Linked DNA regions of Struthio camelus. The protein of the gene in region 1 purifies or fractionates together with the protein of each later gene. This does not show direct contact. Links are inferred from orthologs where the notes say so. Each region holds a gene or a part of one and is shown in the gene's direction. Other genes may lie near its edges. The genes, in order: VIM, NES, GAN and XPNPEP3.

Region 1 (7,849 bases):
CAGAAAACATCCTCTTCTGGCAACTGGAAACCACAGTAGAGGGGAACTTAATGCACAACAATAATAATTTTGTAAATGTAAGTCGTGCAATTGGGTGGCATGAGTCACACTCGAAACACTTCCCTAGTGATGAAAGCCCCAGAAGTTTCATATACTTCTAATTACATTAAAATATAATATTGCAGAGAAACTTGGTTAGTTTTAAGTATATAACCTAGCCATTTCCTTGAAGAAATCAGTAGCTAGTCACACCACTTAGATGTTTTGTAACAATGGCAACTACCACAGGCAATATAATTTTAAAAATAAATTTCATTAAAGAATTTGTCAGTTTCTTTCTTAAGTCCTTAGTTAGTCAAGGAAATTATTCACAAGGGAGGACTTAAGTGCCTGAACATTTAGGTGTTCTGCTGCCTTGTGGTGTTCAGACCCCCAAATCAGCTTATCTCATGCAATGTGCAGGGAGAACTACTCCCTGGGTCCAGGAAAAAACAGCTCTTTTCCTGGACTCTTAGGAAGTTAACCTCAGCTAACTTGTACAAAATGCTAAATTGAGGCTACAGTGAACACATCCCATCTTGGGGACTCTTAGTCACGCTTAGCTCCCAGTTACAGGGAGATACCTGCTGCTTCTGCTCAGGATTTATAACCAGAATCTTTTTTTTTTTTTTTCTCCTCAGAAACAGGAACCTAGGACCTTTCTGTTTTCAAATGACTGAAGACTTTGTCTTTTTAAACAAGGACGTCTTCTTCCTTTTTAAAGGAGGAAGGACTCTTTTTCACCGGTAGTTACAGAATTCACACAAGTTTAGGTTCCAGCACTTGGTGTGTCTGCGTATTACGGTGATTCCCTATTCAGCTCGCTGTAGGACATTCAGGGTAGCAATCTAACAGTCTTTCGTATCCTCATGTGCAGACTGGTCCATTTTGCTTGGAGTTTACTCAGTATTCATGGGGCCATGGGAAATGTGAAGAAATGTCTCCATAGCGCAATGCATTCCAGTCCATCCTCTGAAAAGGATTTAAGGTTGCTTTATCGTACTGACAACAAAAGTGATTGCATTTGCATAGCAGGATATTTTTCCTGGATGCTTAATATTTATGGCTCATTTTATACATCGTGGAAAAAATGAGCATTTCATGTTTTAAAGTAGAAGCTTTATTAAAGGGCACAAATCTGATTAATGAAAGTATTCAAATCTTTTTGTTTAGCAGAAGTCTGTAGTAATGGAAAAGCACATTCAGTGTCTGGGCTAACTTACTCTAGTTTCCTACTGCTTAAATAAAATGGCAAATCAAAAAATATGAATGCCATTATTTTTGGAAATGTGTTCAGACCTACACATAGTTGTTCAAGAAAGTCAGAAAAATTTTGGGTTGCATGAGACTTTCCCAATTTTAGTAGAACAGATACCAAAGCAGTTTAGGCATCTGTACCTTCTCCCTGTTCACACCCGTTATTCACTGTTAATGAGAGTTACACAGCAATCCAATATTTTTTGTGACACTTATTCAGCCTTATTCCTTATTTCAGTCTTGGCTGTGAATCAATGCATCAATTCCCTGGTGAAAAGGCAGAAAATACCAAAATAAATTAGCTGTGGGAACTGAAAGGCTCATATTAAAAATCTCTGTTTCTTTTCTTAAGTGTGCCAGTGGCTTAGCTCTGATCTGCCTCTACAGAAATGCAGGTGAGAGCAGTACAGCAAGCTGAAGGAGCAGCCTGTCGGAGTACTGGAATTACAAATGAAGGCATAACAAGAAACAGTGCAGATGATCCCTTACTAATGGACTAGTTCATGAATAATCCTCAGTGTGGTGTTCAGTGATGTGCTATTAGCTGTGTATCCTTTGCATAAGTAGTAGTCAGCCTCCTGACCAGCCATGCTCTTTGAAAATCCCATAGCACTTTCCTTAAAATTAGGCAGAGTACTGTGGTTTCAGTTCAAACAACTACACTCTGCAAGATTTCTATGGTTACACTTAGATACATTATTTCCTGACCAGTTCTGTAGATATCTTTTTGCACTTCAAGAAGACAGCAGTTCTAGTTCCCCTTTGGGGTTTGGGATGCAAATGTGGGTTACGTTTATTACAGCCTTACAGGAAATGTAGAGCTTACTCTACTTAGGTATCTATGTAAGTGCCGACCAGCAAAAGGCACTTACAGGTTTATTGTAATCCTGGCAATTGACAGTATCATAACACTTCTAGGAAAATTTGATAGTGAGAAACAGCAATGAGGCAGGTGGCCAAGAGTACATATGGCAGAAGTGACATAACATATGGAAATTACACTTGAAACATGGAGGAAAGGGGTAAATGTATTTGCTAAAACAAACACCTCCCTGAGTTTTAGGGGCAAAGCAGTTTCTGAGTGAAGGATGACTGCTGCATGTATGCGCCATAAAGAGATTTTGTGGAGTACAAATAAACTATCTTCTGTTAGGAAGAACAGAGGGTTGAATGGGAATAGTGCACCTTTAAAAAAACAACCATCTCTTAAAACTCCCAGCACTTCTGAGTAAAGCATCTTTAATCTATGAGGCTGTTTGGTATGTGCTGCTTTACTTTTTTGCCTGCTCATACAAGGAGTGTGTACTTTTGTGCCAGGATTCACAAAGGCTTATAGCTCAGACTTGATGGCTTAAATAAAGAGCTCTCAGAGGGCTGGAGAGCCCGGCAGAGGCCGGGCTGGGATGGCGGTACAGTCAGCCCCAGGAATGCTGTGTGACCTCTGCCTCCTATTCAAGGACTGAATGAAATGAGCTGTAGACCAGGACTCATGCTGCAAGCACTTCAGTAGCTCAACCTTGTCAGCTTCGTTTGCTTGACTAAGCTTCAGTGAACAATAGCAAATTAAAACCTCACAGACCTACGTTTAGCTACAAACTACGTTCCTGTAACTTCTGGTCGCCATTCAGAATCAAACTAAAGCACAATCTCCAATACCAAAAAAATTTTAAAAAAATCCTCAAAAAATCCTTTGTGCTCCGATTCCTCCTCATGAGGTACAATATCTGACGAATGCAGGCTGACTTGACTGTGAGTTGGGATGCGAAAATTACCTTCCTCTGTGCCCTGTGTTCATGTTCAGGTTTATCAGAACTTCCAGTAAGTATATTTGCTTCTGCAGGACCTCAAGTTAAAAACAATTAAAAATTAATGGTAGTTTTGCATCCCATAGATGCTGAAGTACTACATTATGGATCTCTCTACATTCATACAGAAATCAATCTTAAGGAGTTTTTTTACTGCCAAATTTCATGCAATATTGCTATTGCCCTGTACTTCCTATATCATTCTTCTCTGTTACTGGTAGCCCCATTTTGATAGTAAAATTGCTCTTGAATCCCTGGGATTTTTATCTGAAGCCACAGACAGAGGATACTTCCAGATCGTGACTAACAAATACTTGTCATTTCACTGGGTGCTTTCCTAAGATTCTGATCTTGTGCCTACTGAAATCAATGCCAGCGTCTGTTGGGTACAACACTCGCAGACCCAAACCTTGGTTAAATTCAAGCCTGCCTCTCTCCTAGTTATGAGAAGGGTTGCATCCAAGAGCAGGAGCAAGATCTTCATTGCAGCTATTCCAAAAACGTATGCTAAACAATTACTTATGGCCTGGGACCAATGTTAAAATAATGACAGAATTCAGTGTGCCTCTTCACTAAGCCATGTAAACGCTCACCCAGATAAAGGGAAAAGGCGTATAGCCTGGGAACGTGTGTTGAACAGAGGCGTTGAACTAACACCGGGGCAGAAGCTGAGATTGCTGTGACAGGAGGCAGCTAATGACAAAAGGAGACACAGGCAATTTATTTCCCTGCCTGTTTATTTTGGACATTTGGCAGCCCTTTGTGAATAGTTAATAACACTTTGCCCTGATTGCATTGTTTCAGAAAGCTAAGAAAGAAAAGAAAAAAAGAAGTTCTCCAGCAGATAGATTATACTGTTTTGTTTTTTTTTGTTTAATAATCCTCCTGTGCTGTGCTATTTGAAGTATTTTGGCTGTGGCTTAACCTTAAAACTGGCAACCTTCCTTGCAAGTCACGGCGCTCAGTCAGCGCAGGAGCGCACCAAACTCAAGGGTTAGCTCAACGCGCCTTGCCGCCCCGCCAGCGATGTTGCTTCGCGCGCCGACCCCCGCGGGCGCGCAGCGCGGGGCCGGCGCCGCCGCCGCCTCTTCCTTCGCAGGGCGGCGGAGCGCGGGCCGTGCCGGCGGCGCGGCCGCTGAGGCGGGGGAGCCCCGGCGGCTGCGCGGCGGGGCGGCCCCGGCGCCGGGTCCCCGCTACGCCCCGGACCCCCCGCCTCAGCGGCCGCCCCCGCCCGCTGCCTCAACGGCCGCTCCCCCCGCCTCAACGGCCGCCCCCGCCCGCTGCCTCCGCCTCAACGGCCGCTCCCGCCCCCCGCCCGCTCCCGCCTCAGCGGCCGCCGCCCCACAGCCGCCGCCCGCGGGGACGGCCGCGGTCCCACCGGGACTCGAGGCGGGGGGAGGTTTGCCGGCCCTGGGGACTCAGTCGGCAGCGGGGGAGAGATGCCGCGGGCTGCCTGCGGGGAGGGGGAGAGCGGCCGGCCGTTACTTTTTCCCCTCGCCGGCGTCCCTCAGCCCCCTGCCGCCGCCGCATCCCGCCCGGCCCCTTCCCGCGGGGCCCTGAGTCACGCCTCGCGCCAGCCTTTGTGTCCTGGCCGGGCCGGGCTGGCTGCAAACCCCCGCGCCCCCCGCCCCGGCCCCGCCCGCTCCCCCTCCCTCTCCCCTCCCCCTCCCCCTCCCCGCGGGGCGAGGCGGTGGCGGGCGGCGCGGCCATTGGTGGCGGGCGGCGGGCGGGGCGGGCCCGGCAGGGGGCGCGGCGCCCCATAAGTAGGGCCTGGGGCGGCGCCCCCCGCTCTTCTTCGCTCGCCTCTCGCCGCCGCGCAGCTGAGCCGCCCTCCTCCGCTCCCGGATTACAAAGCCCGCGCCGCCGCCATGAGCATCACCACCAAGAACTCCTCGTACCGCCGGATGTTCGGCGGGGGCAGCCGCCCCAGCACCGGCACCCGCTACATCACCTCCAGCACCCGCTACTCGCTGGGCAGCGCCCTGCGCCCCAGCAGCGCTCGCTACGTGTCCGCCTCGCCCGGCGGCATGTACGCCACCAAGGCGACGTCGGTGCGGCTGCGGAGCAGCATGCCGCCCATGCGGCTCCACGACGCCGTGGACTTCTCGCTGGCGGACGCCATCAACACGGAGTTCAAGGCGAACCGCACCAACGAGAAGGTGGAGCTGCAGGAGCTCAACGACCGCTTTGCCAACTACATCGACAAGGTGCGCTTCCTGGAGCAGCAGAACAAGATCCTGCTGGCCGAGCTGGAGCAGCTCAAGGGCAAGGGCACGTCCCGCCTGGGCGACCTCTACGAGGAGGAGATGCGGGAGCTGCGCCGGCAGGTCGACCAGCTCACCAACGACAAGGCCCGGGTGGAGGTGGAGCGGGACAACCTCGCCGACGACATCATGCGGCTGAGGGAGAAGTGAGTGTGTAGGGCGGGGGGAGGAGGAGGAGGAGGGGGGCGGCGGCGGCCGCCCCTCGGGCCGAGGGGAGCGGGTCGGGCGCGGCCCGGCCTCGCGCCGCCGTCCCGGCTGCCCCCGGGCGGGCCGGGGCGGTGCCGCAGCCCCCGCGCCGCGCGGGCGGTGCGGAGTGGAGCGGCCGGGGGCGGGGGGCTCTCGGGCGGGTGGGGGCCGCGCTGCGCCCTCCTCACCGGCTTCTCTCCGCTCGCAGGTTGCAGGAGGAGATGCTGCAGCGGGAGGAGGCCGAGAACACCCTGCAGACCTTCCGACAGGTTGGTCACCGCCCCGACCGGCCGGCCCGTGGGGGCGGCGGGGGAGGGGGCCGCCTAGCGGCAGCGGCGGGCCCGTCCCGGCCGCGGCCGCCTTGCCGCCGCCGGTGACTTGCAATACTCGCGCTCCCCCGGGGCACCCAACAAACAAGGCAGCCGCCTGTATTTTAAGCGCGCTCGAAATAAGCAGCTGCCGTTCCCGAACCGCTGTATGGGAGAGAAAGTCCTGAGGTAGCGGCTGGGATGGGAGAGTGGGACTTGGAGTTGTGCTTCCCTTGCACAAAGGAATTCCATCGGTTCTCATGCACAATCTCCTTGTTTTCTTTAGGTTGATGCCACAGTCCAAGGGGGAGGGTAAAAACTATTGTCTTGCTTTATCCAAGTCTAGCCTATTTTACAAAAGGGCTCCGATGTGGAATCACTTTCTGATCCAATAAAAGTGAAAGGGGAGCCATCTGTTCGCTTGGCTGAAGGGTATTAATGGTTTCTATGGGATTCACCGTGGAATGCAGATACAGGCATTATGGCAAGTGTGGTGGCAGCAGATTGAAATAATAGAACTCTTTGTGTCCGAGGGGAGGGTGCAGTGGGCTGCATTCTTACTAAATGCGTAATGATGTAAGCATATTTCTAGAGAAAAGTGTCTGTCATGTATATGGTCTAGGCCTTATACAAAACAGAATTCCTTTTTTTATGAATCACTTCATAGCGCTACTAGAAAAGTTTTAAAGTTAAACTCTTTTGTATTGGTGTTGATGTCTGCTGATAAGTAGACCATTTGTCCCTTGGTGAGGTCACAGCAGTCAAGTTTTTCTCTTCTTATCGGTTTAAGAATGTAGAATTTAATCCTATGCAAACAAAGTTGTTAACACAGGAAAGCAGTTTAGTCTCGGTAGGAAGCTACCATGTTATCCAGATCAGCTAAAAGCTACATGATAAGTAGAACTAACTCTTCCAACAGTGTTGAAAAAGCTCTAAGCTCAGGTTTTCATTTGTGCAAAAATAGCTTTCAGTTTGGCTTAAGCCTTGTTTGGACTAGGAGATATTTAGGAATGCGCCTTCTCAAAACAAGATCTCATCCCTAAACCTGCTGGTGTGAAACAGCATTGCTAGAATTCTTCCCAGCTGAAAGTGACCGCCTCTATCTACAGACAGCTGGGCTCAGATCTGACTTGGTCACAAAGCTGTTCATATACATTAGTAGATGTCGCCATTCGAGAAGTCATCACTTGATTGTCAATATTTTCTTGGGCAAGGTTTTCAACTGCAGTATGCTTATATTCTCTAAAGGAGAACAGATGTCTTAATGAGATAACATGTAGAAATTAAGACAGCAACTGTCATTTAAAGTCTGGGAATTTAAAGTCTCTGTTAGTATTCTGGGAACAGAAGTTTGAAAAAGAAGAATTCAAGGTATGAATTAAATTCAAGCCTTAATTTAAGCTTCTGATTTTTTTGAATGCTAAGCCAATTTAAACGTGTGCAAAGGTCATATGTTTCTGCACTGAACTTTACTTTAGAGAATCTAATCTAGTCAGATTCTTTGCTGAATTCAGCTGGAGGATCCTTTGACTTAAGGTGGCTGGCTTAAAAGATCTTGCATGCTCAATTGTTCCACTTCAAGGCATGGCTATCTCCATCTCAAACTGATTCTACTTTTTTGTAGACTTAGACTCAAGGCCTTAATGAACTTGGTTTTATACGTATTCTACAACATTTATTATCCAGTTAATGCTTATGCTTTAAGGGGGGGGGTGGTCATTCAGAACCTCAGCCACCAGCAGATCTGTATGTGCAGTACAGCTAGGCCAGCTATATCCGTTTCACCTCTAAGGTACAGAATATGTAAAAATTGCAAATATTTGTGGATATATTACACTAAATCTGTGTATGTCTGAACTAGTGTATTATAGTGTGTTTAATTTGAACAATAGTAATATCTAACTTATCATAAGAGGGTAGGCTAAACATGCAGATTTTAAAAACTACATCTATTTAAATAGAAGTACTGTCTTTGGTAAGTGAGGTTAAA
Region 2 (7,778 bases), on another chromosome or scaffold:
ACAACCCTTATCAGACATCAGAGAATCCCCTGCTCCCGTCCCCGGACGCAGACCCACAGAAAACCACATGTCGACTCAGCTATCGGATCCTTCTGCCCCCCTTCCTTCGCTCCACCAGCCTCTTCCAGCGATTTGGAAGAAAAATTGCCTCTCGGACGGGCTGCCCGGACGCAGCCTCCCGCCAAGCCGGCTCCGGGCTGCCGGCTGCCCCGACCCCGCATCCCGCCGCCGCAGGCTCCACTGCCTCCCAGCGCCCCGTCTCGCCGGCCGCAGGCGGCCCCGTGGCGCCCAGCTGTGTCACAGCCTTTCACGGTGCGGTGAAAGGAGCCCCGTGGCCCAGCTGTTCTTCCTCCTCCTCCTCCTCCTCCTTCCCCCCGCTCGGGCCCTGCTCGAAGCCACGTACCAGCGCCCGCTGCATGCCCCCATGCCAAGCTCGCTGGCAGCCAGCCAGGCTCTGGCCCCTGGGATGCCACGTGCTCCAGCTCAAATCAGACTTTCCTGGTCTCCCTGCATCCCACCAGGAGGCAGGAAAAGCCAGGCCAGGCGGCCACAGAGAGGAAGGGGTGCGTGGACATCCCCGTCCCAGGGGGCTCCTCACCCCCAGCATCCTGTAGGGACACACAGTCGTCCCCAGGGACTCCTGACCTCTACAATCCCAGACATCCCCATCCCAGGGGACTCTTGACGCCCAGCATCGCAGACATCCCCATCCAGGGAGACTCCAGACCTTCAGTATCCCGCAGGGACGCATGAACATCCCCAGCCCAGGGGACCCCCAACCTCCAGCATCCAAGACATCCCCAGCCCAGGGGACTCCTGACCCCCAGCATCCCAGATATCCCCATCCCGGGGGGCTCCCAACCCCCAGCATCCCAGATATCCCCATCCCAGGGGGCTCCTTACCTCCAGTATCCCACAGGGACACATGGACATCCTCAGCCCCAGGGACTCCTGACCACCAGCTTCCCAGATCATCCCATCCTGGAAGACTCCTGATCCTCAGCATCCTGCAGGGACACACAGACATCCTCAGCCCGGGAGACTCTTGACCCCACACCCCACACATCCCCGTCCCGAGGGGCTCCTGCCCACCAGCATCCCACAGGGACACACGGACACTCTTGACCCCACACCCCACACATCCCTGTCCCGAGGGGCTCCTGCCCACCAGCATCCCGCAGGGACACACGGACACTCTTCACCCCCACACCCCACACATCCCCGTCCCGAGGGGTTCCTGCCCACCAGCATCCCGCAGGGACACACGGACACTCTTGACCCCACACCCCACACATCCCCGTCCCGAGGGGCTCCTGCCCACCAGCATCCCGCAGGGACACACAGACACTCTTGACCCCACACCCCACACATCCCCGTCCCGAGGGGCTCCTGCCCACCAGCATCCCGCAGGGACACACAGACACTCTTGACCCCACACCCCACACATCCCCGTCCCGAGGGGCTCCTGCCCACCAGCATCCCGCAGGGACACACGGACACTCTTCACCCCCACACCCCACACATCCCCGTCCCGAGGGGCTCCTGCCCATCAGCATCCCGCAGGGACACACGGACACTCTTGACCCCCACACCCCACACATCCCCGTCCCGAGGGGCTCCTGCCCACCAGCATCCCGCAGGGACACACGGACACTCTTGACCCCCACACCCCACACATCCCCGTCCCGAGGGGCTCCTGTCCACCAGCATCCCGCAGGGACACACGGACACTCTTCACCCCCACACCCCACACATCCCCGTCCCGAGGGGCTCCTGTCCACCAGCATCCCGCAGGGACACACGGACACTCTTGACCCCCACACCCCACACATCCCTGTCCCGAGGGGCTCCTGCCCACCAGCATCCCGCAGGGACACACAGACACTCTTGACCCCACACCCCACACATCCCCGTCCCGAGGGGCTCCTGTCCACCAGCATCCCGCAGGGACACACGGACACTCTTCACCCCACACCCCACACATCCCCGTCCCGAGGGGCTCCTGCCCACCAGCATCCCGCAGGGACACACGGACACTCTTGACCCCACACCCCACACATCCCCGTCCCGAGGGGCTCCTGCCCACCAGCATCCCGCAGGGACACACAGACACTCTTCACCCCACACCCCACACATCCCCGTCCCGAGGGGCTCCTGTCCACCAGCATCCCGCAGGGACACACGGACACTCTTCACCCCCACACCCCACACATCCCCGTCCCGAGGGGCTCCTGCCCACCAGCATCCCGCAGGGACACACGGACACTCTTGACCCCACACCCCACACATCCCCGTCCCGAGGGGCTCCTGCCCACCAGCATCCCGCAGGGACACACGGACACTCTTGACCCCACACCCCACACATCCCCGTCCTGAGGGGCTCCTGCCCACCAGCATCCCGCAGGGACACACAGACACTCTTGACCCCACACCCCACACATCCCCGTCCTGAGGGGCTCCTGCCCACCAGCATCCCGCAGGGACACACGGACACTCTTCACCCCACACCCCACACATCCCCGTCCCGAGGGGCTCCTGCCCACCAGCATCCCGCAGGGACACACGGACACTCTTGACCCCACACCCCACACATCCCCGTCCCGAGGGGCTCCTGTCCACCAGCATCCCGCAGGGACACACGGACACTCTTGACCCCACACCCCACACATCCCCGTCCCGAGGGGCTCCTGCCCACCAGCATCCCACAGGGACACACGGACATCCTCGGCCCCAGGAGGACTTTCCATCTAGTCGCTCATCTGCCAGCCAGATGGTGCCAGGTCGGCCGGCGAGGGGACGCCGGGCTCGACGGGGCAAAAGCTGCAGAAAAGGCCGGCGAAAGAGGCCCCGGAGGGGAAGGAGAGGGGGAGCGAGGAAAGGGAGGAGAGACGTGCATCGAGGGCCTCCTTGCGGCAGACGCCGACGCTCAGGCCCCGGCTCCCTTCGGCCGCTCCTGGGAAGCCGGTTGCCCACGCGAAAAACGAGCCTTGAAAAGCAGGGCAGCCCCGGAGCCGCGGGAGCGAGCCTGCCCCAATTAGCATCCCTTAATTAGCAAGCACTGGCTCCCAGGGCTGCCTTAGCTCTCCCTGCCAGCGGCCGGTGCAAAGCGCCGGAGGGCAGCACCCAGCCGGGGTTTCTGCGGGGAGGGATGGACGGACGGACGGATGGGGAAAGGCAGCCCGGAGGCGGCGAGCCGGGCTCCGGCACGCGGCCTCCGGCTGCTGCCGGGTCAGACCGGACCCGTCGCGCTCACCGCCTCTCCGTCCCCATCCCAAAGGCAGAGGGACCGCGTCCCGTAATTCGGCGGAGCAGAGGTACCTCCTGGCCCGGCTCGCTGCTTTCCCGGGGCCTCTGCACCGCCGACGGCCGGTGCCCGGCCTGCCCATCGCGTGGCAGCACGAGGAAGAGGAGGAGATGAAGATCCATCTCCAAGCCGGAGACCGATTACCCGGCGCAGCCTCCCCTCCGCCCCTATCGCTTAATGGCATTTCAATCCCGGCCGCGAACGGCAAAGCAGAGCCGGGGGGGGGGGGGAACTGGGGGAACCAGACAGGATGTCTGGACGCAGATTTAGCTGGAAAGCCGATCCCCTCGGGGAGCACCCGCGCGGCCGAACCGGCGAGGCGGCCGCCCCAAAGGGGCCGGGGACGGCGTGCGCGGCCCCGAGAGGCTCGGTGGCAGCTCGCCGGTGGCCTTTGCCAGCAGAGGGGACTGTTGCTCGTCTCTCGGGAGGCAGCGCCAAGCCCTCGGGATGGCTCCGGAAGGGACTTTTGCTCTTTTCTCCGTTGCACAGGACGAGGACAGAGCAGGGACCTTCCTGGGAGGGGGGGGAAAAAAAAACCCCACCGTCGCACTGGGAGAGAAAGAGCTGGTGAAAAGTTTCTATCCGAATGTTTTTTTTTTTTTTCCGGCTCTTTTGTTCGCAGAAATCCCCAAGGTTGGATTTTTGAAACCATCCCCGCTCCTCCCCAACCCTCTCCCCTCCCCCTGCAAATAAATCAGCTGGAAAATTAAGAAAAAAAAAAAATTCCCCAAACGCTCCCCCGCGAAGCGATTCGTAACCCCACCGTGAAAGATCTGCCCCCGGCGGGTGAAAGCCGGCAGCAAAACCAAACGTTGGGCTGGCGCCTGCCGAGTTTTTTCGGGCCGTCGGCGAAACCTGCGGCGATCGGCCGCCGGAGCCCGGCTCCGACGGGGCAACATCTGGAAAGAGAGAGATTTGCAGCTGGGAGGAGCACTGCGGGGAGACGGGGGGGACGCCGACCTCCCCGGTGCCCCCGTCCCTGGTGGGGGGGGACAAGGCGGTTGCTGCCACCCTGCCCTCGGAAACGTCCCGAAAGGGCCGTGCCGAGGGTCGGCGCCAGCTCCGGCACGTCGCCGCAGCGATTCCCTGCACGGCAATCACGGCGGCTTTGCTGGGGAAACTGAGGCACGGCAAGGCATCCCCCCCCCGGCTCAAGCGCGCAAAGTCGTCGGGACGGTGCAAAACAGACCCCCCAAAAAGCAGGAGGGGGGGGGAATGGAGCTGAGCCCCCGGCTGGGGTGCCCACGTGGGACCCACATCTCCGGGGAGGGGGCTGCTGCTTGCCCCCGTGCCGGTCGGGACGGAGCCATCCGCCGCGGGCTGGGGCCGGCGGCGAGCTCCCGCGTCCCCTCTCCCCAGCGGGCAGGACGCACGCGCGGGGCCACCAGCGTGCTGGCCGCGGAAGAGTTAACCCCCCGCCTTCCTCCTCCGCCTGGGTCTCAGGGGCCTCCCCCTCACCCGGCGTGGAGTATGAATAGCTCCGCTTCGCTCCTCTCCCAGCCACTCGCTCCCGCGCCTGCCTTTCCTCTCCCTCCCCTCCCCGCGCCGGCCGCCAGTGCGTTTCGGGCAGCGGTCCGGGCACTCACCGCCGATGCTGAGCATGGAGGGCTTGGTGGGCACCAGAGCCCTGGGCGAGGAGTCCCTCCAGATGTGGGACCTCAACAAGCGCCTGGAGGCTTACCTGGCCCGTGTGAAGTTCCTGGAAGAGGAGAACGAGGTGCTGAGAGCCGAGATCCAGAGCGCCAAGGGCAGCCCAGGAGAGGACTCGTGGAGGACCAAGTACGAAGAGGAGCTACGAGCCCTGCGGGCCACACTGGACGATGCCTTCAGGGAGAAGTGCTCGGCGGAGCTGGCCCGGGACAACCTCTACGAGGAGATCCAGCACGTGAAAAGCAGGTGCCAGAAGGAGCAAGCAGCTCGGGAGGAAGCCAAGAAGCAGCTGTCCATGAGCAAGAAGGAGCTGGAAGAGGAGAGGAGAGCTCAGATCTGGCTGAAGGAGAGAGCCCTGCAGCTGGAGAAGGAGGTGGAAGCCCTGCTGGAGGTGCACGAGGAGGAGAAAGCAGGGCTGGACCACGAGATCGCCAGCTTCTCGCAGAGCTTGGAGAGCTTTCGCTGCGTGTCGGTGGCTTTCCAGCCCGTGGAGGTGGAGGACTACTCCAAGAGACTCTCGGAGATCTGGAAGGGGGCCGTGGAGACCTACAAGACAGAGGTGTCCCAGCTGGAGAGCTCCCTCTGCCAAGCCAAGGAGAACCTCTGGAAAGCAGTGGAAGACAACCAGCAGAGCCAGCTGCAGCTGCGGCACCTGGAGAAGGACCTGGCGGGGCTCAAAGCGCGGAAGGACATGCTGGAGGAAAGCCTGTCGCGCCAGTGGCAGGAGCAGAGAGGGGAGGCCGAGAAGTTCCAGGTGGGTGAAGGCAGGAGGGGAGAGCTGCCGCGTCGGCACCCCGTCTCGGGGAAGGCAGCGCAGCCCGAGGGGGGAAGGCACCCGCCGCCGGGGTAGGTGGAAGCAAAGCCAAGGAGGGAGCAAATCCCAGGAGGAAGAGCCCTGGGGAGGACCGGATGGCCCGGCAGCAGCTCGGGATAAGTTGCAGCTGGGAGACGAGGCAGAGGGCGGGAGGAGGAGCAGCTCGGTGACATCCTTGGCCCTGGGACAAGAGGGACCCGAGGCGGCACCGCTGCAGGGGATCCCCTCTGAGCCAGCGGGTCCTCCCCTGCGCCCTGACTCGGTTTCTCAACCGGCCGGGAGGCTTTTCCCCTCCGGCATCGGCGGATTTTCCCAGGGGAAACGGCAGCCCCTTGCCATCGCTCCCCCAGCTGCTGGGAGCCGGGACCGGGGTCAAGCCGGCGGGGAGGCTTAAAGGAAGGACAAACTCCAGCCGACTTCGCTGCAGCTGCGGCCGGACAGCTGCAAAAATAATTCAGCGGAGGAGGCTACGGGCGGGGGGGGCCGCGGCGGAGAAGGGGCTGGAAATGCCGGGAACGGCCAGGGCCCGCCGACGGGAGCAACCGGCACCGCGGAGCGCCAGCCCCGTGGGCAAGGGGTCCCTCTTTGTTCCAGGTCCGAAAGCTCCAGCGGAGCGAAAGGGCGTCGCGGCCGCTCGCCCGAAACGCGTCTCTTTCCCACGCCGGCGTCGCGCTCCGGCTCCCGCCGCCCAGCCGGCCTTTTCGTTCCTCCTCCGTTCGGCCGCCTCCGGCTCACGCGCTTTTGGCGCCCTGCTCCCTCCTCTCCTCGTGCATCGCTCTCCTCGCTGCTGCCTTCCCTCGGTGGCCCCGTGCCCAGGCCAAGCGCCCCCAGCACCCCTCACCCTGCAGCATCCCCTGGGATGCTCGGGGACCCAGGGAAGCATGAGCCGCTCCCAGGGTTTGCACAGACCCCGGCAAGCGTGTCCTTCCCCCGGTGCCGCCGATTAGGAAGTAGACGCTTGTTGGAGCCAAGTCACGGCCAGCTCACCCACGTCCTTTGGCTCCCATGGCAGGAAGGGGGACGGAGCGATTATTTCCCGTGCAACCAGAGGGCGAGGACGGGGAGGAAGAGCGCCCAAGGGGAGGGAGGGATCAGCCACCAGTGAAAGCCACCCAGACCCCTCACGCTGCTGGTGGGGTGGAGGGGGGGGGGATCAGCCACGTCCCAGCTCGAGCAGGGACGCAGGCGGGCGGCAGAGCAGCCCTGACCTCGTCGTCCCGCCGTGCTTGCTGCCCGCAGCTGGCGCTCGAGGCCCTGGAGCAGGAGAAGCAGGCTCTGCGCGTGCAGATCGCCCAGGTGCTGGAGGACAGGCAGCAGCTCATGCACCTGAAGATGTCCCTGAGCTTGGAAGTGGCGACCTACAGGTGAGGTCCCCGGCCGGGCCACCGCCGCGGCCAGCTCGGCGCCCCCTCTCCCAGCCCGGCCCTTCCAGATGGCCTCGGACAAAGGCAGCCTGGGAGAGGACTAGGGGGGACAATTAGCATGAGAATAGGGGCAGCCCCGGCGAAGGGGCCTCCCCGCCAGAGCATGATGTCACCCGGCGCCGACGCTAATCCCGGGGCCGGGGGGATGGGACGAGAGCCCCGGCCAGGGGGGAAGCTCCTTTGCAAAGAGCTGCAGTTCCCTGGGGAAAGGGCTGCCCCGGCCCCGCAGCCCGCTGGGTGCCCCGGACCCTGCGCCGAGGCCGGGGCTGCAAGCAAGGCTGCCGGAGCGACGCTGTGCAAAACCATCCCTAGCCCCTCCGTGCCTCAGTTTACCCCTAAAGCAAGGGAGACCTAGCCCAGGGGCAGCTCTTGCACGGATGCTCCCGCCGCCGTGCCCACGTAAGCCCACTCCTCTCCTTCCAGGACGCTGCTGGAAGCAGAAAGCACCCGGCTGCAAATGCCCGCCGGGGAATACAAGCTGGCCAACGGCTTGCGAGGTAAGAGAGCGGCGGCCAGCGCACGGGGCTCGGGCCGCCTCGGCGCGGCCGACGCCGCGAGGGTTAAGGGGACGGGGGCTGAATATAGA
Region 3 (7,097 bases), on another chromosome or scaffold:
ACTTGAAACAGAATATATGGTTTTATGTAGCATTCAATTACACTTTAGCAGTATTCAATCCCAATGTTATAAGCAGTTTGTATTTAAATCAGTTTTGCTTGGGGATAATATCTGATATGACATTTCAAGTAATTAGATGATTGCATTGTCTAAAAGATAAATAAAAAGGTAATATTTGTTAATACCGTTCATTGTCTTTTTGTCTCTTTGTTAATAACAATAGGCATATGAATGAGAACAGTGTATTTCTAGCATAACTGAGATACACACGTTCAACAAATTGTTTAGGTAGAAGAGTGAAAGACTGAATTTAGACCTAATCTGAACCACTCAGTAGCTAAAACTGCAGTGTGTTGTTGTTGTTATTGTCTAGGCATTTACATTATTATCTGCTCAGGAGCATCCAAGTTCTGATGCAGGCTGATCATTGCCTTTAACAGATGCTTCCTAACAGAAATACACAATTCTCTCATTCACACTCACAGTTAAAAAGCATCTTTCAACCCAGAGTTCTAACACCTGGTACGCTATGTCTGTTTTTTTGGTATAGGAATGGCCCATGAGTGTATTTCTGGTTTTGGATTTGGGGCATGGATTTTTCTTTAAATGAGAGCCTTTGTTCTTTAAGTTGCATTTTCCTATTTTAGATCCTTTTACTGTTGAAGAAAATTAGCGGTACATCTATCCCTGTTCAGTGTTCGCTTGGTCTGTATGTATCATCACATGATCTGGGTAACTTCAGCTCTTCAATATACCCATCATCACAGCATCTCTGCTACTCGCTCTTTTTTACAGGTAGGAAACAGAATGAAATCATTGTAATTTTCTGTCTACCTGTCAGATGAGAATCTGGCCTTTGGTGACTTGTTCATGATTGCATAAGATGTTTACGGCAGAGCAAAAATTGAAGCAACATCTTCCACGGTTCTTGCTTGCACTGTAACAGCGGTACCTCCCTTCCTCTGCTTAAGTCTTTACAGTTTATAAGTATAAAGAATCTACAGCCTATTTTTAACGTAGAAAGTGTCACCATGGTCTGAATTTAGAGTTTAGGTATGCAGCTGTGGGTGTTCAAATATTTATATATTCCATAAAATGGAAATAAACACCTCAGCAAGATATGTCTGCAGAAATGGTCATCTTTGATGTTTTCAAGGTGTTATTACCACTACTATTTAAGAGAACTTTATCATCTAAAGGAGAAACTGAATTCCATTTGTATAAGTAACATGGAAGCAGGACTAAAATGGAAGAATGATTTCTGACATTGGGAAAGTACCACTTAAAAGAGATCAGCTGTAGGGCTGTTTTGTTTTGTTTTTTTAATTTGCAAAAGTTTATATTTAAAAAGTTACTATAAAGATTTCTGGAGTTATAAAGAGCTCATAAAACAAATGTCTGACCACTATTACAAACCTCTTTTTAAGAGTTTGTGTCCAGAATTTCATCTGTGGAATACATTGTTTTATGTTTTTGGATGATCATGATTTTGGATACAGGAGATACTTGGCTTCTGAGGAGGTAATTCACACTGGACAGAAATAACATAATATGGGAACATCCATCAAAAAATAAATCAGATTTGTTATCTAACATCTAAGAAAACAAATACGTTATGTTCATTTAGAAAGACATCAGAAGATAAATTACAAGAACTTGTTTGGGGTATGATTTTTTAAAGTTAACTTAAAGAACAAAGTGCACTGTATTTACTTGGTCAAAATTACACAGGATGTGATTAGTATGATGTTTGCAATCAACCTGAAAAGAGAAGCATAGTGATGTAAATCTAGATTTGCCAATCCAAGTATTCGATCCAGGTCCTACTGCACCAGAAACAACGTGGTTCAGACTGTAAGTATGTTTAATCGCAAATTTGTTCAAGAATGTTTTTAGCAGTTGCACTAGTAGCCTGGTGAAACATTTAAGGTGAAGACGGTAATACACAATATCATGTCCAGGCTGACAAAACCCGTGGGGAATGCCTGTAAGTTTTGCCAAGTGACTGCAAGACTTGTGGTTTTTTTCTGTTGTAGCAACATGACAGATGGTAGCGAGTCTGTCATTTGCTGTGCTTCCCTGACATCCTTCACTATGAATTAAATGTTGAGGGACAGAAGGGTCTGAGTCGTCTTTTGCACCAATGTATATGTTTATTTGTCATAAATTAGCACCGTGAGACCAGCGGAGTTATTTTAATGGCAAAAGAATCTAGACACAGTGACTGCAAATAGAAATAGTATGAATAAGTAGCTTCTATAAATGTAAAATAACAGGAAATTGTTGAGCAACAGAATCAGGCCATAAGTGTGCATACATATAATTACTTCAAAGATGTTACAAACAGCCCTCTAGTTGTGCCCTACCAGTGTTTTTTTTATCAACAGGTTTCATTAAATGGAACAAATAACAAAACATAATAATTAATTTGTCCTGTCACAGTGGATATTATCTGTCCCATTGCCCCACATACACAGCAGGAGCAGAATCAATTAACTTGACCTATTTACTAAATATATATACAAAGAGAAAAATAATAAAAATAATAAATAAAGAGAAATACAACTGTGCTTTCCTACATAATAATCCATGCAGGAGGCATAGAAACAAGCCAGTGTTTTTCTTTTTAAATAACCAGGCTGCTCAATGACAGCTTTCACAATACTTTAAACTACTACTCCCTTGAGTATGCAATTACCAAAGTATTAATTACATCAGGCAGAATACATCTTTTGCCAGCAGTGCAAGATGCAGAGCACTCTCTGCTGTCATGAGAGCTGTGGATGTGCCTTCTCTGCATCTCTCAGAAGGAGGACAGTCGCCGTCCTGGATAATTACACCCAAGCCAGAAGAAGTGGCCTTCTAATATTTTTACGTGGGTATGTTGCGTTACGCCAATCATGCGCAGCTGGTGTTTCACAGGAATTAGTCTGTTTTTATGCCTTCCATCATGCCAGTGTGCGAAACGCGTTCACCGTTTCTTGTAAAATACTTGTTCAAAGCCGCACAGCAAGCCTGGAGCACGCTACTGCTCTCGGTGCAACCCTCCCTCTCCGGTCAGCGAAGCACCTAAGCTCCCTTGCACCTGAGCGAGGGCGAACCCAAAACGCTGCCTTAAATGGGCTATTCGCATTCTTCTGGAGCAAACACTTGTGGCAGAGTTTGGATTTAGCGAGGTGTCCGTGTGCCGGACGCCCCAGGGAAATCTCCACCTGGAGAACAGCACAGCATGGTGTCTGCTTCTGCAACGACCCCGTTGCCTGCGTAAAGCCCTTCGTTTCTCTTTCCCGGGCTGACATTTTGAGATACCTTTATTCTAATTTTTCCAGTGACACTACCAGACTGGATTAGGATGAACTACAGAATACAATTTTAAGTTTTCCCCCTTTCAAATAGACATATTCTTAAGTGCCATGCCTGAAATCACTGATTTAAAGGAGGGCAAATAATAGAAGCACGCTACCTAACATGTTTTTCCCCCAGTGGAAAGACAGAGATCTCCTCCTGCAACAGGGTATTTCACAAGCTAAGGAACCCGACTCGGCCGCCTCAGGTGTCGCCTGGGCCCGTGCTGCGCTCCCGTGTTTGCCTCCTCTCGGCAGCGCCGGCTGAAACGACACTCAAGTAGGTGACAGCTTTTAAAACACTTTCAGTTGGTGCAAATTCGGAGTTTCACGCCTGAACTATTGGACGCTATTAAAAAGAAACAGGTGGAAGCAAGCCATCCCCTAACGTGCAATAAAAGTATGTTAAATACATGGCCTAAAACCTCGTGAGAAGTCCTTTTAAAGCAAATCCATTTGCCGGAAAGGGGCGCAGGGCCAGCGGGCGGGCCCAGCCCGCTCCCTGCACCGGCATCTCGCTCGGTTTAACCCTCCTCCGCTTCAGCGTTTTGCGTGCGCACCGTGGGGGGGGGGAGGGGGGGGAAACGGCTCTACCGGTCACACGTGAGCGCCAAAGGGCAACAAGGAAAACGTTGTTCGCCACGCAGCGCCCGACGCCGCGCACGCGCCCCAGGGCCGCGGGCACGCGCCCCCCCCCCCGCGCCCTCCCCCGGGGCGGCGCGGCCCCGCCCAGGCGCGCGGGGAGATGACGTCAGGGCGCGGCGGCGGGCCGGCGGCCATGGTGCGCGGCCGCTGAGAGCGGGCGGTGCGGGGCCGAGCGGCAGCGGCGGCGGCAGCATGTCGGGGCCGAGCGCCGTGTCGGACCCCCAGCACCCGGCGCGGCTGCTGCGGGCCCTCAGCTCCTTCCGCGAGGAGAGCCGCTTCTGCGACGCGCACCTGGTGCTGGAGGGGGAGGAGATCCCGGTGCAGAAGAACATCCTGGCGGCCGCCAGCCCCTACATCAGGTGCGGCGGGAGCGGGGCCGCGCGGGACGACGGACGGCCCGGCCCGGCGCCGTGACTCGGCCGGGAGCGGCGGGTGCTGGCGGTGGGGCCCCGCCTGCCCTTGGGCGCCGCCGAAACGCGGCCCCCCCCCCCCCCCGGGCCTTTCTCCCCCCCCCCCCGGCGGCGAGCGGGGCCCCCCTGTCGGCGCTGGGCTCCGCGTCCGCCGGAGGCGCCAAGTGAGGCCGGCGCTTTGGTGGGGGTTTTGTTGTTGTTTGGGTGGGTTTTTTTTTTTAATGAGTGGGTTTTTTTTTCCTTCTAACAACACCTAAGGCTCCAGGCGGTGGTGACGGATTCCGAAATACACCCCGTCTTAAGTGTGAAGAAACTGTACGGGTTTATTCCCCCCCCCCCCCAAAAAAAAAAAAATCTCCTCTTTTTTTTATGCCCTCACAAATACGTGCGAATCTACCTCAGAAACTGCCAGCGGCATCAAGCCAGGTCCGCGCAGGTCCGCGGGCGTCAGCGGCACGTGCGGCCCGAGCCGAGCCAGAGGAGGACCAGCAGCGTTCAGCACAGTCATGGTGCCCCGGGGGCCGGCGCGCCCTTTGCCCTGGGCCGAACTTCCAGGGCAACCCGCTCCCCGGGCAGCGCTGTCGGCTCTCCTGTACGCTCAGCGGTGAAGGCGCCAATGGCGTAAAATAGAAAAAGCATACCCCGGTGGGAAGATTTTCATAGTACGGATCTGAGAGAGTGAATGAAACGTACAGGGGTTGAGTTCCATAGTTTTATTGTTTCTCTTTTTTGATAGGTCTTAGCAATTGCAGGTAATGGAGACTTTAATTTTGCCTTAGCATGTGAAGGACTGCACCCCTCGGTTTTACTTACACCTAGGGTTATCGTAAGACTGTAGCAGACGTCGGCCGTGTAATTCTGCGTGCTTTTAGGCTGTGTGATATTTTTGAGTGATGATTGTAGCAGAGCTTCGACATTCTTAAGTACAAAAATAAACTAGGAATGAATAGAACGTAAAGTTGGTGATTAAGCTTTAAATAGATGTCAGTAATGGACAGGCTTAAAGGAAAGGTTTTCTGATATTTCAAATCTAAGCGCCTGATTTTTCCATAGTACACGGACTAGCGTTATGCATCAGCTAGCAGGGCTGAGGGGTAAAATGAAATAAAATTCACGGAAATAAGAAGAGCAGCAAGGACCTGCAAAATGACACTAAAAAGCTGAAGTACTAGTAGTCATTTTTTCAATTCCTGTCTTGAGAAGCAGTTATGGAAGACTATATTGAAAGGCTAATCAGAGACATGAGGTTGAAATAAATATGAGCAGTTGATCCAGTACTCTTCAAAAATGCCAGAATGTTTTTTAGCTTGTTTTTTGTCATTACGAATCTTTTAGATGGCCCTGCATCATATCTGAAGTTAGTGTCCTAACAAAGACTCCTTGGCTGAGAAAAAAGGTTTGGTTTAGGTGGAAAGAGGCCATGTCTTGGAAAAACTGCTACTTTACTGTAATTATTGTATGGGTTTATATGAACTGTGTAATCTTTTGCTACGAAAAAGGCTACTTAATTAAAAGATATCATAAATTATTCTACAGAAAAGTTCCTTTTCACAGAATCTCCTCTTTAAGTATTGCATTCTGTCATTCACCTCTGAAAAATTTACTAGGAAACCTGAGCTAATAAAGCACACGCGAAGAGTCAGAGTGCCAAACATGACTGTTTTGTTGTTGTCAGTGTAGTTATTAGAGTTGTGGTGTTTTAAACTTAAAATCTTTCAAGTTCAGATGCCATCAAGGAACTCATTAACTATGTGTGAAGTAGGTTACACGTATTGATATATAAATGGGATTTTTTTTTAAGCTTACTCATCTTTTCTCCTTGGGCTTGCAACATGTAGTGAGCCATAAATAACACATACCAGATTTTTTTTTTATGGCATATAAACTCATCTGTCTTACCTATCTTTGCAGAGCCTAGTTTTTACCTGTGCTGCTTGTCTCTCCTCTTTCCACCACTCCAGGATCTCTTTCTTATTCCAGCTGCTCTTTCCATTGAGTAGAATTGGTTGGGTTGGTTGCTGGTATTGGAGAATTAAGTTTCTAAGCCAAAATTAGCATTCCAGTGACTCTTTTTAGAGCCAAAAATCACCGTTAGCCTGTCCCTAGTTTCTGCAAATATTTAGTCCCATTTCTTTTGAGTCTTTTTTTTAATAGAATGAGTGTGTGGTTTTTTTTTTTATTTTTTTAAATCTAAAAAGTTATTAGAGGAGACTCATGAATCTTATGTTGCAGACTAGATGATTCCAAAGCATGCTTTGGTACTTTGGTACCTTGGTACCAAAGCTGTTTAAGTCTCCAAGGTCTGTTTAAGTCTCCAAGTATCAATTGATTTCCGTTGCTTTCATTTGAAAGTTCCAAAATAAAACTCAGAAAATCTAGTAACTAATTTCAGAAATATTATTGGGTGGAGAAATGGGTGGGTATGGGATATTTACCCTTAGCAGTGGAGCAGTGGCAGGACTAGTTGGCGCTCTGCTTTCTGTTTCTGGCTCTGGCTGTGGGCAAGTTGGTGGGCAAGTTGAGAAGCTGTGTAGGGTTTGCATGAACGCTTAGTTTAGGGTGTGAGCGGGAAAATAAGTAAGCATGGGATTTTCTGAGGGGGCGGCTTGGGTGTGAGCAGAGTCTGTACGCTGAGGGATTTGTGTGGCCACAGAGAGAGGAGCGTTACCTGTTTTTTAGTTTTGCATGGAAGTTGTTT
Region 4 (7,274 bases), on another chromosome or scaffold:
TAATACAATAATATAAATTCCAGAGTTTTCATCCTAGTTCTCCTAACAAGCAGTTCAAGAGAAGTCAGACATAACAACTAAAAGAATGACATCATAGGGACCAGAGTAGGTGAACCAAAGAAATCTGTTCTTCTGCACATCAAAAGGGAACTGTAATTATTAAAGGATTTTAGAAGTGTTAATAGCTAAGATTCAGGTTAGCACAATGCTCAGAAATTAAGATCTACACCTATCCATCTAACGCTTACTGAAAACACTGCAATATTTCTTTTATACAACAAGACTTCTTCAAAGCCTGGCTCACCTACTAGGTCTATCGGAAAAAGACTGAGAACCCTCTAATTCAAAAAAGGTCAAAAATTGATTCCCAGCTTCCATCATATATTTATGAAATGCAGGATTAGAATTCCAGAGCAATTCCAAATTACTGGTCTCAATATCAGCTGTTTGTAAGTCTGAAACCTAGAAACATCCCAAGGCTGGAACAACTTGATTAGTCTCTTCTGCCCCCTTCACTTGCCCAACCCCCCCTACCTAGGGCTTTATTAAAGAATCGTTAAAATAGTCTATGAGATGCGCTTAACCGGTATTTATGCACTTCCCAATACGGTATTTCAGAACTGCCGAACTGCACAAACTGCTTTCACAAACACAGTTTTATTCCCAGTCCCTTAAAAATACTGTTACTATCTAGTTATCTTCCACTGAATCTAGATTTGCAATTCCAGAACAATCCCAAAGCAAGTTACTCTAAAATCATTCCTTAAAACACTACGATTAAACGTGCAGCGAGGACGTGCAAAATTTGCAATGCATTTAAACTCAACAGTCTACACATATAGCACAGGAGTTACTCTTGTATGAAAACTCAGTTACTGAGCAGTATAAATGCACAAAAAAACCCATTTTAAAATAAGCCTTTGCGCGGAGACCTGGTGAGAGAATTGGGCAATTCAGGTAACTACACACGAGAATTTGTAAGGACTCCGTTGTAATAATGACTCCACACTTCCACTGATCACAGTGATGTGAAGTGCTGCTTTTCTGACTTCTTAGAACTGCAATTGTCATTTCTCCATCCAGTTTGCTCACTTATACCCAATTATCTTTAAAGATGAACCGGATTACAGAAAATTCAAAGGGACAAAATCTTCCTGAAAAACAACAAAGAGGCAAAAAAAACCCCACCCCTGTTCATGAATTGAGCTTTGTGCCTTACTTTTAAGGACTGCTATTGTTTTCTTTGTTCAACTGCAGGTTTTTGAAATACAGCCCCTATGTAACGACTCCCTTTACAATGATTCATGTTAAAATATTTATATGTTTATGCAGTTATGAAAGAAATAAGCTGGAACAAACAGGACATCAGAACCCTTTCCAAATATAATCATACATTAGTATATTCTTTACAAGCATCTATAAATAAATGAAATAGATCAGCTATACAGAATAAAGATCAGTAGATAACAAGTACATGAAAACGTGAAAGACGACTTAAGGTTTCTGACGTAACATTAACATTCAGTCAGAAATCAAGCACCACCCTCAGGCTTCCCCAGCAATTAGCATCATTCTCAGTTTTAAGAAAACGTCAGATCAATTATATTAGAATGTTAGCTGAAAATTTCATGATAGATTTCAGTATCATTTAGTCAGTACTGTGTAATCATTTGCAACATTACCCTCATGACCAAACCTAAGCCTTTTAAATTAATACAGGCAAGCCTGACAAAGATATGACAAAACCGATCAGATATATTTCTCCTGAACCTGAGCCATTGTAAGTTTCAAGTAGCTTCTGAATAATGAGAAAACCCTAAAAAAAAACATGTCATTGTCTGACTGCAAACATTGCTATTATGGAAGGGAACTCGCCAAACTTCCAGTTTGACATGAGAGGTAGTTTGGCTACTACTCCAAATATTCAAGTATATAATTTACCCAAATATTTAGCTTAAATAAGTGAGGAAACAATAAACATTAAGAGAGCTCTATAAGGTCCTGTTTTGAGTAAGTTAACATCTGAGACAAAGACAGCCAATAAAGTTTTTCCATAGAAAAAACACTCCACACCTCCAAACCTAAATTTTATACTTACAATACATGCAAGAAAACACACACCCTGGTACTAACCAAACATAAACACTAAAAATGAATCTGCAAGTTAGAGCTTTCCATATCAGCATGGAGAAAATTAGAAATCAGAGGCTCCACTTCCCTAACACTTTTTTTTGGCCAAAAGTTAGTGTCTCCCTTCTCTGCCCAATACTCTGTTCATACTTTCAGAATCATACAACAGAAGAATAGAATTAAGTTCGGGTGAGTGACTGAGGTCTTTTATACATTAGCAAAGGGGCTGAGGACCCGCACTAGCATACAAGATAAGTGCATCACTTTCCTAGGCACACGTGCAGCTACAATCGTTACTGTAAAACCAAGCAAAGTTAAGTAGGTGTGTTTTCACTATTGCATGAGTATACAATGTTTTAAAAGGTTTAAACATCAGTTTAAAAAACAGATCCAACAAATAGCTTAAAGCAATCTTCGTTACACAGCATACTGTGAAGTGCCAGTGCTTACTTTAAAAAAGAAAGAAAAGAAAAAAGCAGCCCACTAGTTTTCCAACTAATTACAACAGGGCAGAAAATGCCATTAGAATACTTTCAGATGCATTTCACAGCAAATTCAAATTTGACGCTGAATAAAAACTTTTTCTCCCCTGAGAGGTGTATCTGCGAGGACTTCCCTCATTGTTTCACGTTTTTCAAAGCAAGGAGGGATGCGGCCCCGAAAGTTGAACAGATAGATGTTTCCCCAGTTGAACATACAGGTTCTGTGGGGTCTCTACGAGCAGTAACAGACTTCAACTCTTCCAACTTCGAGTTTTGGGGGAGATCCAGTGACGTTTTCATACTGAGAAGCATCTGCCACGACAAGCTTCAAATGCACCAAAAAAAAAAAAAAAAGGAACTACAGCCTTAAGCAGCACACGTACGAAACGCCTCAAAGGGAGCAAGACTCCAACTGCACGACACGCGAAAACTTCCAACAATTAAGCAAATTTGTGGCACGAACCACTTCTCGCTTTGAGCTGCGAGATATTCAACGCTTTGGGGTGCCGGGATGTAAATCAGCGCCACTCACCTCCCCACAAACTCGCATCCTTTTAAGTCAGGCTAGCCAACTCTGCTGAATAATGCGAGAATTAGCTCGCTAAATATTACTCCGGGGCCTTCCAGCCGGGGAAGGTAAGCCACTGAAATGGCCGGGGGCGGGGGGGGGGGTGTACATTTGCAATGAGAAGAGCGAGCGAGTTTAAAGAAAAAAAAAAAAGGAGAGAGACTCTACATATATATATATATCTATATATATATAAAATATATATATAGTATGCGTAATATATGTAACACACGAGCCGTAACGACTGCGCGCCGGACCTGCGAGGCGAGAGGGCAGCAGACGCTCGGGGGGGGGGGGGGAGGGAGGCGAAGGGGGGAGCGCGGCCCCCCCCCCCACCAGGGGCGGCCGCGGGCGATGGGCCCCCCCCCGCCCCCTTCCCGGCCACGCGGCGGGGCCGCGCGCCGACACGTGCCGCCCCTCCCCCACACGGCCCCGCGCGGGACCACCCCAACAGCCGCCTCAACGTCTCCGCCGCCGCCGCCCGGCCCGGCCCGTGACCGACCTCTCCACCCACTCGCGCAGGAAGGCCAGCTCGTCGGTGTGCAGCAGGCCCGGGTTCTGCTTGCAGAGCCTGACGAAGGCCCGCAGCTCGCTCAGCTTGCGCGAGTCCATGGCGGAACGGCGGGGAGGCCGAGGCCACGGCGGCTGCTGCTGCTGCTGCTGTTCCTGCTGCTCGCCCACTGCGCGGCGCAGCGCAGCTCCGTCCCAGCCCGCTCGCCCGCCCGCCCGCTTCCCCGCCCAACCGCCGCGCGGCGCCGTGGAAGTTTCCAGCCCCCACGACGCGACACGATACGACATGACACGACGCCCCGCCCGCCGCCGCGGCCCCGCCCCCACCCCGCCGCCGCGCAGCGGCCGGAACGTTCTAGAAGCGGAGGTGGCCGTTAAACGGCCGACCTCCCTGAGGTGCGGGCGTCGCTCTCCTCAGTGGCGTCGCCCGCCTCTCCTCACCGCCGCCGGGGCCGCGACCGTCCCGCCGCGCGTCCCGCCCGAGCGGGGCGCGGGGCAGGCGGTCGGCGCGGGCACCTAAGGCAGCGCTGCGCCGCTCATTGGCGGCATCGGCGGGCGGGGCGGCGGCGCCCGCCGATGGCGTCAGGCGCTGGTGGCGTCCGTGCGCGCCGGCGGCGGAAGGCCCCGCAATGTGCGCGCCGGGCCGGCGTGGGGTGGGGGTGGGGGGGACGGAGGGGGTCTGGCGGGGCGCGGCGCGCCGCAGCCATGTCGCGCTTGGCGGCCCAGAGGCTCGTCCCGGCGGTGAGGGGCTGGCGCGGCTTCTCAGGTCAGAGACTCCTTTCCTCCCGCCTCGCTTCACCTCAGCGGCCCGGTGCCACCAGGCCCTGCTGCCCCCTTCGGCCCTGGCCGGGGCTGCCTCTGTCCCCAGGGCCCCGGGGAGAGCCCGGAGCGCCGGGGCGGGGGGCTACTGTCGCGTTAAGCGTTGTCGCCGTTCAGAGCCTGTTGCCGTCCATCGCTGGCGGCCCGGCGGCGCTCGGGGCCGGGCGAGCTGGGGGCCGCGCTCGCGTCCTGCTCCCTGCGGCGTTGCGGTGGGCGCGGGGGGGAGGTGACTCGGCGGCGAAGTCGTGGCTCCGGTCGTGGATAAATCTGAGGAAAGGACGAGTTCTTACTTGAAAAATAAAGCAACAATTTGGAAAGCTGCCCGCTGTGTTCAAAACGTTGTTTTGTTTGATGCCTGTTGTGTTCTCTTGTCTCGCTGCGAGATGTCCTGTTTGTCTTCCCTGTAGGTAGGTAGACACAAGTGAAAGCTGTCTCGGTTCAGACTGCACAGAAAGCAGTAATTATACTTTATTGTTTAAATTTCCAGACTGTTGTGGCAGTCAGACATCACATACTGAAACAGATAGTATACTTTAAGCTATGATATTCAGTTGTCCTACATAAATAATCTTTGTTTAGTAGATAGTCATATTGGTTCTCTCAGAAAATCCAGTCTGTGCATACAGTCTATGCATAAGTCCCTGTGTCTTGGCTTCCTGAAAGGTAGGCAGCTTTTTTTCTTGTGTCCATGTGCAACAGCTTTACGCTTGCTTATGCCATCAAAGAGCTGATTATCACTTCTGCTGAGAATCCGGTACTGTGCCAGAGCTGCATAAATTGATTTTATAGTAGGCACGTGGCAAGTGACGTAAAAGAATTAGTTAACAAAACATCAGCTGTTAGAGGTTAGGAAACTGATTACCGTCTCCTTGCCTGTGTTTGATAACTTGTATCTAGACATAAGCAATACTTCAATTGCAAATGTAGTTGAGAAATCCGGAGTTGGTAAGGTTTGTTAGGGCCAGCAGAGAGAGACATATTTCACGGTATTTAATTTTATCTTGCGTCTTATTGTGCCCTCCTCCAGCTCCCCAATTCACACACAGCTGCCTTGCGTAAAGCTGTTTTCTTTGGCAGCATAAGTGGTTTGTGAGATTGGAAATGGGGTACATAACTATGCTCCTGAGGAATTTTTTCCAGTTTGGCAAATATTGCTGCTAAGTAAGCTAGATGCATAACAGATGAGGGAAACTTGAGTATCTTCCCTCCAAAAAAATTTGTACATTACTGTAAAAGCAGTAGTATTTGATGGCTTCTTTTTAGTTAAAAAAGAATTGGAAAGGCTCTAAACGCTGATTGTTACATAGGAGATGGTTTTTGAGGGTGTAATCAAGACATGCTGATATGCAGGCGACCTGGGTGATTGTGATGCTTCAAACCTTGCAGTGTCTGAGGGGAGCGAGGGAGGGAGAACACTGAGCACATCACGAACGCAAGATGTTGAAACTGAGCGTGTGCAAACTGGCTTAGCTTTCTGTGTTTCTGTGCTGGTTTGTCAGTATTTAAGTATGTTGATTTCTTTTAATCTGTTTTATGGATATTTGATCATTAGTTGAGTTGTGTACAATGACAATTTTATGAGCAAACGTACGTGCAACAAGTTGAAAAGTTAAGAAAGGATATTTTTGTGATAGAGGTTGAATTAATGCTATTAAGAGTCAGATGACTGGAGTGTAATTTTGCAATTTGATATTTGGAAAGGTCTTTTACCTTGATGTGATGTATTTCTTTTCCTCTAGCTTGCAAGTCATGGGCTCTCCGGAGACTTTCCCTCCAGCCTGCCCAGCAGAAGAAGATTCCAAACCGGTATTTGGGTCAGCCCAGCCCCTTCACACACCCACACCTTCTCAAACCAGGTTAGGTTTCAGGCCCTGTACGAGCCAGTCATTGGTATTCTTTCTTTCCTCTGTTTTCCTGAGATAATGATTAGGACAGAGTATTGATTTGCAGCATGATGCAGGTGTCCATGATTTCACCTGTTTATGATTAGCTTCATTAGGTAGTAACTATTTAGTAGTTTCCCTGTCTGAGGTGATACCGATTCCAAAAATAAGCTTACATGTTGGCTTTTTTACCTTTTTCCCAAGGAGTGTTCTGTGTCACTGATTAAAGCACTGTAGATGTTTTGTGGCAGTGGCATCTTGTAAGCAAATTGTCCTGCAAGTGCAGTATGGTTTATATTAGGGAAGACTCTTTTGCATAGACTAAACTACCAGAATACTTCATGTACAACATCTTGTGAGTCAAAAAAGAGAGGTGCAATTCAGAAAAAGTTTGGAGAGAGACTTACTGAGAGATGAGCGCCACTTGCTTAAGAAGCATGTTCTTTTCAGAAAGGCCTTCAAGCTACGAAGAAGAAAGGGAGACTAGTCACTATAAGGTTAGCAGGTACTGATGGAAAAGCAGTTGAGAGTGTGCAGGGTTGTGAGATTAGGGACAATGAGCATGTAGATGTGAGGTGACAGCGATAAAAACTTAAAAAAAAAAAAAAAAGAAAGTAAAAAATATATTCAAGAATGAGTCCAGGAAAATATGCTGTGTACTTTTTCTGCAGCTATATATACAGAGAGAATGGGGGCGGGGGTGTATAACATATGTATAAATTGTAGAATAATTCAGGTCAGAAGGAACCTCAAGAAGTCGTCAGATCCACTCCCCTGCTCAAACCTCAGCTACCTTCAATATTAGATCAGGTTGCTCAGGGCCCTGATTAACAGGGTACAGTAAATGAGACTGATGCTTAAAAACTACTCACAGCTGAAATA

Evidence for each region.
Region 2: the proteins of VIM (region 1) and NES purify together in Homo sapiens (affinity purification with mass spectrometry; 3 studies listed by BioGRID and IntAct, counting the BioPlex papers as one, with this or other methods). This does not show direct contact. The link is inferred for Struthio camelus from reciprocal best matches to the Homo sapiens genes VIM and NES.
Region 3: the proteins of VIM (region 1) and GAN purify together in Homo sapiens (affinity purification with mass spectrometry; 3 studies listed by BioGRID and IntAct, counting the BioPlex papers as one, with this or other methods). This does not show direct contact. The link is inferred for Struthio camelus from reciprocal best matches to the Homo sapiens genes VIM and GAN.
Region 4: the proteins of VIM (region 1) and XPNPEP3 purify together in Homo sapiens (affinity purification with mass spectrometry; 3 studies listed by BioGRID and IntAct, with this or other methods). This does not show direct contact. The link is inferred for Struthio camelus from reciprocal best matches to the Homo sapiens genes VIM and XPNPEP3.

What each region holds. Positions count from the first base shown.
Region 1 is NC_090943.1:23,968,584-23,976,432, reverse strand, and holds the start of VIM (vimentin), read left to right. Parts: upstream 1-4,834; 5' UTR 4,835-4,969; coding exon 4,970-5,511; intron 5,512-5,759; coding exon 5,760-5,820; intron 5,821-7,849. UniProt on the Homo sapiens protein: Vimentins are class-III intermediate filaments found in various non-epithelial cells, especially mesenchymal cells. Vimentin is attached to the nucleus, endoplasmic reticulum, and mitochondria, either laterally or terminally.
Region 2 is NC_090971.1:3,563,673-3,571,450, reverse strand, and holds the start of NES (nestin), read left to right. Parts: upstream 1-4,763; 5' UTR 4,764-4,895; coding exon 4,896-5,708; intron 5,709-7,007; coding exon 7,008-7,132; intron 7,133-7,615; coding exon 7,616-7,689; intron 7,690-7,778. Other genes in the region: BCAN (brevican core protein), read right to left, coding at 904-1,027. UniProt on the Homo sapiens protein: Required for brain and eye development.
Region 3 is NC_090951.1:6,219,729-6,226,825, reverse strand, and holds the start of GAN (gigaxonin), read left to right. Parts: upstream 1-4,085; 5' UTR 4,086-4,181; coding exon 4,182-4,348; intron 4,349-7,097. UniProt on the Homo sapiens protein: Probable cytoskeletal component that directly or indirectly plays an important role in neurofilament architecture.
Region 4 is NC_090942.1:57,098,776-57,106,049, reverse strand, and holds the start of XPNPEP3 (xaa-Pro aminopeptidase 3), read left to right. Parts: upstream 1-4,271; 5' UTR 4,272-4,395; coding exon 4,396-4,456; intron 4,457-6,248; coding exon 6,249-6,365; intron 6,366-7,274. Other genes in the region: ST13 (hsc70-interacting protein), read right to left, coding at 3,683-3,978. UniProt on the Homo sapiens protein: Catalyzes the removal of a penultimate prolyl residue from the N-termini of peptides, such as Leu-Pro-Ala. Also shows low activity towards peptides with Ala or Ser at the P1 position.